Linked DNA regions of Drosophila melanogaster. The protein of the gene in region 1 purifies or fractionates together with the protein of each later gene. This does not show direct contact. Each region holds a gene or a part of one and is shown in the gene's direction. Other genes may lie near its edges.

What was found.
Region 2: the proteins of Ufd1 (region 1) and Roc1a purify together in Drosophila melanogaster (affinity purification with western blotting; one study listed by BioGRID). This does not show direct contact.

The regions. Positions count from the first base shown.
Region 1 is NT_037436.4:11,120,151-11,126,160, reverse strand, and holds Ufd1 (ubiquitin fusion-degradation 1-like), read left to right. Parts: upstream 1-2,944; 5' UTR 2,945-3,112; coding exon 3,113-3,239; intron 3,240-3,296; coding exon 3,297-4,120; 3' UTR 4,121-4,179; downstream 4,180-6,010. Other genes in the region: mRpL2 (mitochondrial ribosomal protein L2), read right to left, coding at 4,180-4,598, 4,755-5,220.
Region 2 is NC_004354.4:644,483-650,560, forward strand, and holds Roc1a (regulator of cullins 1a), read left to right. Parts: upstream 1-2,821; 5' UTR 2,822-2,965; coding exon 2,966-3,155; intron 3,156-3,220; coding exon 3,221-3,441; 3' UTR 3,442-4,115; downstream 4,116-6,078. Other genes in the region: CG13367 (uncharacterized protein), read left to right, coding at 414-1,431, 1,508-1,716; Hmt4-20 (histone methyltransferase 4-20), read right to left, coding at 5,568-6,078. UniProt on the Drosophila melanogaster protein: Core component of multiple SCF (SKP1-CUL1-F-box protein) E3 ubiquitin-protein ligase complexes which mediate the ubiquitination of proteins involved in cell cycle progression, signal transduction and transcription.

The DNA.
Region 1 (6,010 bases):
TAAGTTGCACTTAAGCTATTGCAATGTATGATAAAAAAAAACATGATTCTCGTCTTTTTCTACCCAATTGTTTAATTGAAAATATTTAATTTTTTAAACATACTTTAAGCAGACTTCTATTACAAACTTTCGCGCTCTCTTCACACACATTAAGTTCATATATCTTAAGTGTTTAGCTGTCGTTATTATAGAGCGACCACTGTACGTGTGCCAACGTTTCTAGCACGTGTGACTGTACAAGTTCTGGAAGTAAACAAATGTGAGTGCGAAGCTCGTTTGGCAAATTTTACCTATTGCTCTTATTCTTTCATTCTCTCTCCATTCGACGACCTTCTTGGCATTCATAAAAGAGTTTAAACTGTGAAGCTGTGTTGTTTTTATTGGGTTTTTTCCATCACACGCGATCCGAAAATGGAATCACGAGTTTGTCGGCTGATATTCAAAACGTGAGCACAAAAAAAATATGAATAGAACGCTTCATCGAATTTCACATATGAATGTATGAACATATACATATGTATATACATACATATATGTATGTACATATGTTTGTGCTGTGTGCCTATAGAAATTCCACTCCCATCCAATACATTTTTTTGGGCACTTGGCAACCGGCAAATATGGCTATTGAATATTTCTGGGAACTGCTTGAAATCGATTGAATTACTATTTTCAGTAGTAAAAAGTAGGTAAAGCTAGGAAAGCCACTTGAAAATACATAATATTGAAAGCTAAGCAGTTATTTTAAACTATTTATACATAGTTTAATTGGGTACTAACTACCTCATGATAAATAAATCAAAGGGGTAGGTGGTTTATCTAAGTTTCTTTATAATTCTGAAGATATTTATATAAGCAGGTGTTCTCACTTGCATGAATAGAATCTCGTTGAAAAGGGGACATTTCTTATAATTTCTGAACGGAAATCCAGAACTTTAGTTTGAGAGACACTTGACCAGGTGCCATCCGAGCGAAAGATGCATTGAATCGGAATGGGAATCGGTCCACTTTGCACTCACACTCACTCCGTGCGGCGCCGAGTGTGTACACGCTATGACCTTGCGGGGTTGCTGCCACCCACCGCCCACTTTGAACCCAAACCAACTCATTCATGACCCAGAGCAATCCAAAACGAAATCCACGCCGTGATATCACGTTGTGCTGAAAACAAAAAATGTATAATTTCTTTGCTTGACGTAAGCGCAAAGATCTGATGTTCGGAAATTACGAAAAACGAAATGTTTTTTTTTCTTCGAAATTCTGCAGCATGCGTATACACAGATTTTTGGGAATTTTGCTGCTTGTGTCGTTGGGCTATTTTAAAGTTTAAATGCTTATCGGAAAAGCTGCTCCATTTCGTTGGCTGTGCGCTTGTTAAATTTAGTTCCCAGACGCAAAAACTGTACGTACACAACAAGATGCCGGAGTTTTTCTTCTACCCTTAGTACTTTGCTCATCACAGTGCGACTTGGCTATAAACGATTGTATTCTAATTTGAATTTTCAAAAGAGCAGGCGATTTCATTTCACAATATTTCTTTAGCTTTGCAAAGCGTAAGCAAGTGTCATGATAACGAAAAGTGGATTTTCCCAGAAATATTTATAAATAATTTTGATAAGTTTACACAGAAAGTAAACTAAGTTTTTAGCGGAAGTGCAATATAAACAACATTTTGATTCTCGAAAAGAGGTTATCTTTAAAATCAAAAACAGAAATCGTTGTGAGTCCACTTATAAGTAAAAACTTTTGGAAACTGGAATATGTTGGGCCATAGAGCGCTTATTAAATGAATTTACAAAAATTTGCAAGGATGCAACTGACGCCTTAAGTTAGGCTTCATTATTTGAAGCCAGCTTGTGAGTCACTGGAATTTCATATTCTCTCGATTTTAATACGTTTTACATGACAAAGACAAAAGATGGGTAAATTTCACAATAGAGGGGGGTGGGGCTCTTTGTTGTGGGGAAGTTAGGGCGAGAGCGAAAGAAAGGCGAAGAAAGTGGGGAGCATGATGGCGAGGGGAGTGTCTGGAAGCTGCCAGAAGAGACAAGAGAGCGGGAGAGTGCGCATCCTCTCGCTCTTTTCACCTTCTGTTCGGTGTTTCTGTTGTTGTTCTTGTTTTTGGTGTGGCTGCAGCTGCGAAGCAACAATAACAACCACAACAGAGACTCGAAAACAGCTGCACACGAAAACGGTGGCTGTCAAACTGTTTTGCAAAATTTAAAATGTAACTGTACTTGGCAAAAACAATACATTTTGCTGTATTTCTGTATGTCGTAAAAGATCTTTCGACCTGGAAGCTGGAGAACACTTTTTCCAGCCACTTGGCCACCACCCCGCCTTTGAACAAACCAACCAATCGATTGGCCAGCTTATTGATTTTTCTATTCGAACATTTTGCATTTGTTGCTCGTTTCGGTCTTTTGCTTAGTGTGTTTGGTTCGAAAAAAGTATTGGCAATCATGTGGGCATCGACATACACACTTTTTTTTTATCACACCCACGCGAAAAACACGCGGCGCCAGCCAGACTAAAAGGATACAGGCAGCATATCCTGCACACACACACACACACGCGCGCACAAAAAAGCTCGCCAGGATCGAGTGGTGCAGTTGACCAGCAAACCGCAGCTGCTGACAGCCAATTTTGAGTAGCGGAAACAGTTGGAGCTGCTGCCCCGAAATGGGTACTCACTTGATCAGCAGCACTTTTTCGAATCAATATACCCGTCTATTCAATTTTTTTTTAAGCGGGACGAAGTCGCGCGCAACCACCGGCTTGCTGGGTTTGTTAGAGATGTGCCGATAACTCGCCACTGCGATAGCTCGAGTTGCTACTTTTTGTTGTACGCCACGCGCTTGGGATTTTAGCGAAATATGCGTGCCACAACTTAGCTTGTGCCGCAACCCCACACAGTGCTGCCACCTGTGGGCGAAAAAGTTACGTCTACATGGTGTTCTGGTCACACTGCCCCCGCCGTGACAAACAAAATAGAAAAAAAAATAAAACAAAAGATAAAATTTTAGCCTCCCCCCTTTGAGAAATAAAGGGTCATTTGAGGCAGTTTAAATCGAAAAGAATCCATAGGCACGGAGAGCCCAGCACACATAGAATGTTCCACTTCAGCGGCTTCAACATGATGTTCCCGGAGGGACGCAATTTTCATGCCAACTACAAGTGCTTCTCCGTATCCATGTTGCCAGGAAACGAGCGAACCGACGTGGAAAAGGGCGGAAAGAGTGAGTTACGAGTGTAGGCTGGACAGAAATTATGTGAACAACACATTCCATCCACAGTTATTATGCCTCCCTCGGCGCTGGACACGCTCACCCGCCTGAATGTCGAGTATCCAATGCTGTTCAAGCTGACCAACGTCAAGAAATCGCGATCCTCGCATGCCGGCGTACTCGAGTTTGTGGCCGACGAGGGCAAATGCTATCTACCCCACTGGATGATGGAAAACCTGCTGTTGGGTGAGGGCGACATACTCAACATCGAGAGTGTCTCGCTGCCGGTGGCCACCTTCTCAAAGTTTCAACCGCACAGCACCGACTTCCTGGACATCACCAATCCCAAGGCGGTGCTGGAGAATGCATTGCGCAACTTTGCCTGCCTCACCAGGGGCGATGTCATAGCCATTAAGTACAACAAGAAGGTCTACGAACTGTGTGTCCTGGAGACAAAGCCCGGCAATGCAGTCAGCATCATTGAGTGCGACATGAATGTGGAATTTGAGGCGCCAGTCGGCTACAAGGATCACTCCGAAACGCAGGCATCGGGCTCTGGGCAGCAGGGTGCTGCTGGAACTGTTGGCGGCGAAATCGCTGGAGCCACCAACGCCATACTCGAAGAGGTCGTGGAGACCTTCAAGGGTTCCGGCGTACGTCTCGATGGTAAGAAGAAGAAGGAAAGCCAGTTGGAAACGCCGGTCGTTAAGAAGGTGCTAGCCCGCGGCGTTCCAGACTATGATTTCCAGTTTGGACTCATCCGTTTCGATCGCAACATTCGGCCTATCAGTGATAGAAGCCAAGAAGATGATGCCGTAGCTGGCAATGCGGACGCTTCCGATGCGGAGAGCTTCCACGGCACCGGTTTCTCGATGAAGAAAACGCGCAAATAGCTCTGTATCTCTAGTTCTAGTTATATATTGTGTGACACATAGAAATTAAAGGAAAAACCTCACAGGGGCAGCGTCAACTTGATGGCCTCCTCCTTGGGCGGAGCCGGTGGCGATATGGTGGTCATGGGCGGCAATCGGCGTATCTTGCGTCCGTGTTTGCCTTCCTTGCGCTTCCACAGACCGGAACGTGGTCGATTGCCCATCTCCCGCATCCGCTGGGCACTGCCCACATGCTCCTTGTTGTGTTCCGGGTTGGACAGGCGACCAACCGTCGCCATGCAGGTGCGCTGGAAGGCGAACTCCCGCTTCGAGGGCAGCTGCACCACCACCTTTTCGTCGAACTTGCGCAGAATGGTGCCGAAGGTGCCGGCGGCATGGATCAGGTGGCACATCTGGCCGGGGTTCTTCTCCAGACAGTGAATGCGTGTGCCCACGGGCAAGGCGCCCAATGGATAGGCATCGCCTTCGTTGGGACGCACTATGGGATCATACAAAAAAAAAAAATTATATTGGCATAACTGGTTGTTTCAGAGCCAGTAAAATTTCTAGATTCCATGCTCAGTTTAAGACTATACTCAGAGGATTACTTAGAAAACGTTTAATACTCCCGATGAGTAACAGTAAGTAAATTTACCCGGAATCCTAGGAATAAAGCGCGAGGTCTTGAGGATATCGCCAGCCTTCATGTTCTCGGTGGCCAGGATGTACTTCAGCTCATCGCCGACGGCAACCAGGGCCACTTTGGCGGTGCGACAGCCATCGCGTAGCACCTCGAGTACCAGTTCCTCCTGGGCGCCCTCCGTGGGACCATCCCGCACCCATTTAACCCAGCGATACTGCTGTTTGATGCCTCCGCCAATGCCCTTGGCCACCAAGCGACCGGAGACGGGATCCCGACCAGCCAAATGGGTGATCTTCAGCGGCTCAACGGTGTACTTCTCCGGAAAGTGCACGGTTCGTCGGAATTGCTGTCCGGCACCAGGTTTTGGTTTCTCCACCACTTTGGTTTTGCCGCGCAATTGCTGCAGAAACGCCGGCGCCGTGCGAAACGGCGTTTGTATAGTCAGCGTTGTGCTCAGCAAACGTGTTACACTTTGCATTTTCGATAGTTTTATTTGAAAAATTAAATAGAACGAAAATATATGCAAACTGTTACAAAATCGAAATGCGGCTGAAAACAGCTGTTACGCGGCGTTGCCAGACCACGAACGGGCCATGCCTGATTTCGGGCGCTAGCGTTGCCAGCATTTTGCTCGAACTGATCTCTTCTTCTTCTCCTTCACCGCGCTGAAGCAATAAGAATCGGGAAAACCGCATTAAAATCGCTGAAAAAGTGCACAAATCGGCTTTAAATTATTGCCCAATTACTAGTGTTACGTGCATATCGAGAGATTTCATAAATTGCAACAGCCAACGATTTTTTCCAACAAGGTACGCAAAATAATAAAAATAAACAAGACGAACAGAAAAATAATATACACACACAAACACGCAGCGAAAAACGTGTTGTGTGCAAAAAAAAAAGACTGAAAAAAAAGAACAACAAAAACAGTTCGAGTTTGATAACCAACGGCGAAAATATAAACAGCAAAAGAGAGAGCGAGAATTAGTAGTAATAAAAATCAATAGCAGAGTGAGCGGAAAATCAGCTTAACCAGCTAAATGGCATATAAATAAATATAAGGTTTTTATTTTGGAACACGCTCATCCAACACACATGCACACGCGCATACACGCACGCACACACACAGGAGTAAAGGTATGGGTGGCCTCAAGTGTGTGTACATATTTTGATGTTAGGTGGGAAAAAAGCGGGCGGCAAGTTTACGCAATCGCCGAGCGAAAAGCAAAGAGCAGCAGCTATACGTTGTGAAAAGTGTGCTTTTTGTG
Region 2 (6,078 bases), on another chromosome or scaffold:
CCTCCTATTCCTGCGAGCCACAGAAGGACTCCACCGACATGGACGTGGACATGGAGATAGACAACGATCTTACCACTAGCGAACGGATGCCAACGGTGGCCGAACGTTCAACGGTCAACGTTCTTTTACCAACGAAATTGATAGGGAAATCTAACAAAACGCCACTGGCGAGAAATTGAATATGGAATCTCCACCGGTATTTCTTCTTTCTATTTTGAATTCCTAAAAAAACCAGGGCTGCATTAGTCAGAGCACAGTTGGCTACCTGGCAGCCCCCGCCGATCCGGTCTGGCAACACTGGTTTAACAAAAACATACTACACAAATTACGTTGTTTTGCATAGCAGAACAAGCACATTGAAGCATTTATTGTTTTAAAAATCACTACGACCTGAATAAGGGCATGGATTAGCCATGTCAACCGACGCCGACCTAAACAAGTGCGTCAGTCCCATGTACCAGGTGTCAACCGCAGGCGACGGCCTCCAAGCAGAAGCCGCTGGAGATCTGGCGTTGGCCTCCATTGTCGCAGCTCCCTCCTATTCCTGCGAGCCACAGAAGGACTCCACCGACATGGACGTGGACATGGAGATAGACAACGATCTTACCACTAGCGAACGGATGCCAACGGTGGCCGAGCTGGAGCAGCCGATGGATTCCAAAACGAAACGGGAGAAAAAAGAGGAGGAGGAGCAGAAGGACGCGCAGGACCAGAAGCCACTGGAGGACGGCTCCGTGCAACCGCCCAGCAATCCGACAGCCATCAAAATCGAGGAGGAGGACAAGCCAGTGAAGCCGCCGCCGCAGCCGCAGGCTCAGGAGGAAGTCGCGCCCAGTTCGCCGGAGACAGCAGCGAATCCCAGCCAGAGAACTGCGGGCAAGATCACCCGTAGCAGTCTAAATGGCACAGCCAACCAGGCGCCCACCCGCTCCCCAACGATAATAAAGCGTCTGCGAAAGAGCACGCGCTTCAAGGCCAAGCAAACGGGCAAGGGCACTCCCGGAAGCGGCAGTAGCCAGTCAAATGGCCACAATAGCGGGGCGAATGGTTCCACCGGCAGCTCCGTGCACCTCGCGGGCGCTGGCGCCCATCCCAGTAATACCAACAAGCATGGGAAGTCCGGTCCAGCGGGCACAGGCGGGGCCACTGGAGCCCGTAATCGCCGCGCTCTCTTCAAGAAACCAGCACAGAAAACTCCCAAGGTGCAGGCGAGCACCAGGTTCGTGAGAAGCCTTTTCCACAAGGGCAGCTATATACAAATCGGGGATATCGTCAGCATTGTGGACAGCGAGCAGAATCTGTACTACGCCCAGATACGCGGTCTGCTTGTGGACGCCTATTGCGAGAAGTCCGCCTTCCTCACCTGGCTGATTCCCACGCAGGACAGTCCGGATCCCCAGGAGGGCTTCGATCCCCCTACCTACCTAATCGGTATGTCAGTCCTGTCCTCCTGCCTGCTACCCAAAGTTTTTTAAATTGTATTTTTGCTTAACTCCCGTGCCTGCAGGACCCGATGAGGAGCTGTCCCGGAAGCTCTGCTACCTAGAGTTCGTGATGCATGCTCCCAGCAACTACTACTTCGACCGGAGCACCCCGTTTCCCCTGCCGGACGTGGATGAGTACACTGCCCAGAGATCGGGCGGCTACATCTGGACGCGGCTGCCGATAGTCAAGCGGGAAAAGGGCAGTGGCCACAAAGCGGGCGGTGCCTCCTAGCAGAAGAGGTGGCTCAAGGGCAGGATGGCCGGAGCCCTGAATTTGAAAAATCTAATTTATTGCAACTTTTACTCTTCGTAAACGGGCTACTTGCCGAACAGAAAATAATTCAAAAAGTACTTGATGTACTGTAGTACCAACTGAACTCAATCAGCAATTAATGAATAAAATACAATTTTGTAATTATGGATAACGAAGCGTTTCCGACCTATAAAGTATACATGTATAAACATATGTTCTTGATCAGGATCAATAGCCGAGTCGAACTGGCCATGTCCGTCTGACCGTATGAACGCCTCAATCTCAGGAACTATAAAACAGACAGTCGCAGCGCAAGTTTGTTGACCCATGTGGCCCAGTTTAGTGTCGTCCAACGCTACGCGCGCACTTTTGAAAAATGTTTTGATATTTTTAAAATTTTGTTATAAGTCCTGTTTGAATTGCAAAAAACTAATTCCCACGCCCACAAACCGCCCAAAACTGCCACGCATATACTTTTGAAAAATGTTTTGATTTTTCTTCGATTTTACTTTTTTGCAATTTGATCGGTATACCATAAACAAAACATTAAAAATTTTGATTAAGATACCAAAAGGTTATCGACACGAATCGGAATCGTTATTGAATTAGACGAGAAAATAGTGGTGGAGAAACATCGATGTTTCCGATTTGGCGAAAAATATCAAAGTCTTAAACATATTCTTTAAACATGTTGTTCTAAACATCGATGTTTTAAATAAAAACAAAAAAATTATCTGTTTAATTTAAATATTATTTTCTTTTTTAATATTGACTAAATAAAAAAGGCAGTATTTTAACTAAACATAAACTTATTGTCGTCTACGTCTTCATCCCTCCTTATTCAGGAGTTAAAAACTTAAATTTCAGATATTTATCCACGTCTTTCAGGACATCAGCCAACACCACCAGCAAGTCACACTAAATTTGCGATATGTTATTAATAATTCTATTAAAAAATATGGAACTTACAATTTATACTTACAATATATACACATATCTTCTCCGATGTGCAGTAAATACCATCGATACCATCGACGCCATCGATGTTGGCATCGATGTTTCGCCACCTTTACGAGAAAAAGCGGCGGTCACACTGCTTGAGCCTCACTGCGAGTGGTTTTCTATTAAAACGAAAAGGATAGGGACAGAAAAGCCAAAACTACGTTAGTTGTGAAAATTGCATTTGTGTTGCGAGAGTTTTGTCAGGATAAATAGGTGTATTTCCACCATGGAAGTCGACGAGGATGGATACGAGGTTCCCTCCAGCAGCAGCAAGGGCGATAAGAAGCGCTTTGAGGTGAAGAAGGTAAGTGGTCAGCAAAAAAGCAGGGTCATTGTCAATGAATGTACTGATGGTAACACTTCATCCTTTCCGCTTCGCCGAAAACAGTGGAACGCCGTGGCTCTGTGGGCCTGGGGTAAGTAGTAATGCGAATTGTAGTGCTCCGAGTCGGGGGATTAACCGCATTCCATTTCGATGCAGACATCGTGGTGGACAACTGCGCCATCTGCCGCAACCACATCATGGACTTGTGCATCGAGTGTCAGGCGAACCAGGCGTCCGCCACTAGCGAGGAGTGCACCGTGGCCTGGGGCGTCTGCAACCACGCCTTCCATTTCCACTGCATCTCTCGCTGGCTAAAGACGCGCCAGGTATGCCCACTGGACAACCGCGAGTGGGATTTCCAGAAGTACGGCCACTAAAATCTACAAAACCCCCAAGACCCACCAGATGGAGGGAGCAGCACTTCCCGCAAGCTAGATGATGGAGGCCTGCTTCATCTGGACATTTGAATACCTTTTTAGATCTTAAGCTAGTGGGGCGATTCGAGTGAACTGGTAGCCTTTAGGAGCACAGTTACCGATTTCCGAGACTCCCCGGGAAGCGCACCTTTTTGTAACGCGTTAAATAAAAGCTGTAGAAGATGGAGAAGACTAGACGGATGTTTCTACCTTTCACCCTTTGGAGTCTATATTCACTGTGACGATGGCATCTTACCGCGAAATCCACTAGCTAGTCGTGCCTAAATTTTCAGAGTATATAACTCATGACTGGCAAAAAATATGATTGGGTCATTGGGTTCCATAAATGTAGCTCTGCTTAGTTATCCTTGGATGGCATTTGAAGAGGATCTGGCTAGTTCAAACTAGTTTAGTTTTGCTTAACTATATGCGTCATGACCAGCTCCAGATCAGGTTGTTCAGATATATGAAAGTAGTTTCGTAAAAACAAATCAAAATCAGTCGATGCAAAGAAAGAGCTGCGTTTGTAAAAACTAAATGTTCTTTTTAGTTTATTATGAATGTTTTGCGGCCGCGGCAGCTTAGAAAATAATACACATTAGTTACAGATATGAATAAAGTATATGGTATATATCAAATATGATTAATGTTTAATTGCATAAGCTACTAACTAAACTTATAGGTAAACAAAAAATAATTATGTCGTTAAAAAATCATCGAATTTGCTTCGTGTGTGTGTGTGGTTGTGATGGTTTAGTTGTAGTTTTCTATCTGTCGCCTTTTAAAAACCAAATTTCACAGAGAACAAAATAAACAATAAGCTGGCAATAAAACGAAGGGCAGGGAGTGCGAGTTGTTTTGGATTCAGATTCATGTGAATTAAACCAGATTGCATGGTCCGTCGAACCACTTGAACCACCACTTGTATCGAGTTGTATTTAGCGTTTTATTTGAATCTTCTGTTCAATTGTTTTCGCTTGCTTTATAATTAAATTTCCCGCTTTTTGGTTTATATACATTGTTATTGTTATATGTATGTGAAAGTGTAAGCTCCTCCTCCTTTCGGTCTCTTCAACCAGCTCGCTTTGTAGTAATTAACATTAAGTTTGTCTCGTATATCTTGTATATACACCATGCATATATGTTATTATTTATATATTGCTGTTCTGGTTGCCGCTGCTGCGCTATTGTTTTCTTGTTGGCTATTGTGGGGTGGGAGTCCCAAGTATCCTCGAATATGTGGTTGTTTCATTATCTTGCAACAAACAGAGGGGCTTGCTTGGTGTAAAGCTAAGTTGGGTTTCGGATGCAAGGCGTCTAAAACCTCTGCTAATTGCGTCCTAAATCCTCCCATTCTGATTCACAGTGGCTCCTGGGCTGCTCGTCCGCTGTTTAGGTCGGTTAGTTCTCAACTGTACATGATTTGAATGCGATTTAACTCTATTCTTAGCCGTTTAACTATCAAATTGCTGGTGGTGGTGGTGGTGGTGGTGCTGCTGCTGCTGTTGCTGCTGCCGATGTTGCCGCTGCTCCGGTTGCTCCCGCTGCTGCTTTTGTTGTGATTGCAACACGCTGCCCTTTGCTGCGACCTTTTCCTACTTCTACGATTCAGACTGCCACCTGCAAAATAAAAGCACACCACACACACACGCGCCACATGCAACGCGGACACAAAGTAAAAGGGTTGGGAGAAACGGGAAGTGATCACAAAGAGAAAGAGAGAAATGGAAAAGAAAGCAAAAACAAAACAAGTTACAATCTGGTATATATCCGGATTCGCATTAACAAATTGGTCAGCCTGTTGCTTTGCTTCCCGAATATGAAAACCCAGGGCGGGTATATCAGGGATCATCTACTTGGACTAAGATCTAAGCCTACGGTTTCTATAAGGTGCTTGGAATCAGCAGCAGCAAAGGCAACGACGCCAGCAGCGCAGCCATTCTCAGTCTCCATCCCTTGTTATTCCTGCTTCTCTGCACCTGGTGCTTCACCATGTCCTCGCCCGGTACTCTCCCCCTACGCGCTCCTCCTCTTCTCATGGAAATGGCAACTGTGCTTAGTCAATTTGCTTGGAGATCAGTCGTTGGTTATTTCTGGCCGTGATGGTTGTTTGTATGATGGTGAGATGTAACTGCGCCCGTTGAAGTGGAGGTGGGCACCACTCCTGCTCCTCCGCCGCTGCTGGTCTTCTGCTGGCTAATCTGCGGCTGATTCTGTAGGCAGGCGAAACTGGTGGGGGCCAGGAGAGCACAGGTGCCGAATGTGTGCTTGGGCATGCTCAGAAAGCCAGCTCCAGATCCTCCTCCTCCTGACGAACCACTGCTGCTGCTCACGATGGCCTGACCCTGTCCCGGACTTGGTGTTCCAGCAAATTTGCCCAGCTGGTAGTAGTGCATCGCATAGGAGTCCTCGCCAGCAGCTCGTTGCTTGCCATTGGGAAAGTAGCTGTTGCTGTTGGTGGTCGATGTGCAGGCCGATTGAAAGGAGCTGCTGGTCGTCGATGAAGGTGATTGGGCAGCAATGGGCGGTCCAACCGTGGACGAATCCACTGGCTCTGCAGAGGTGGACGTAGCTCCTCCCACTCCACTGGATGAGCTG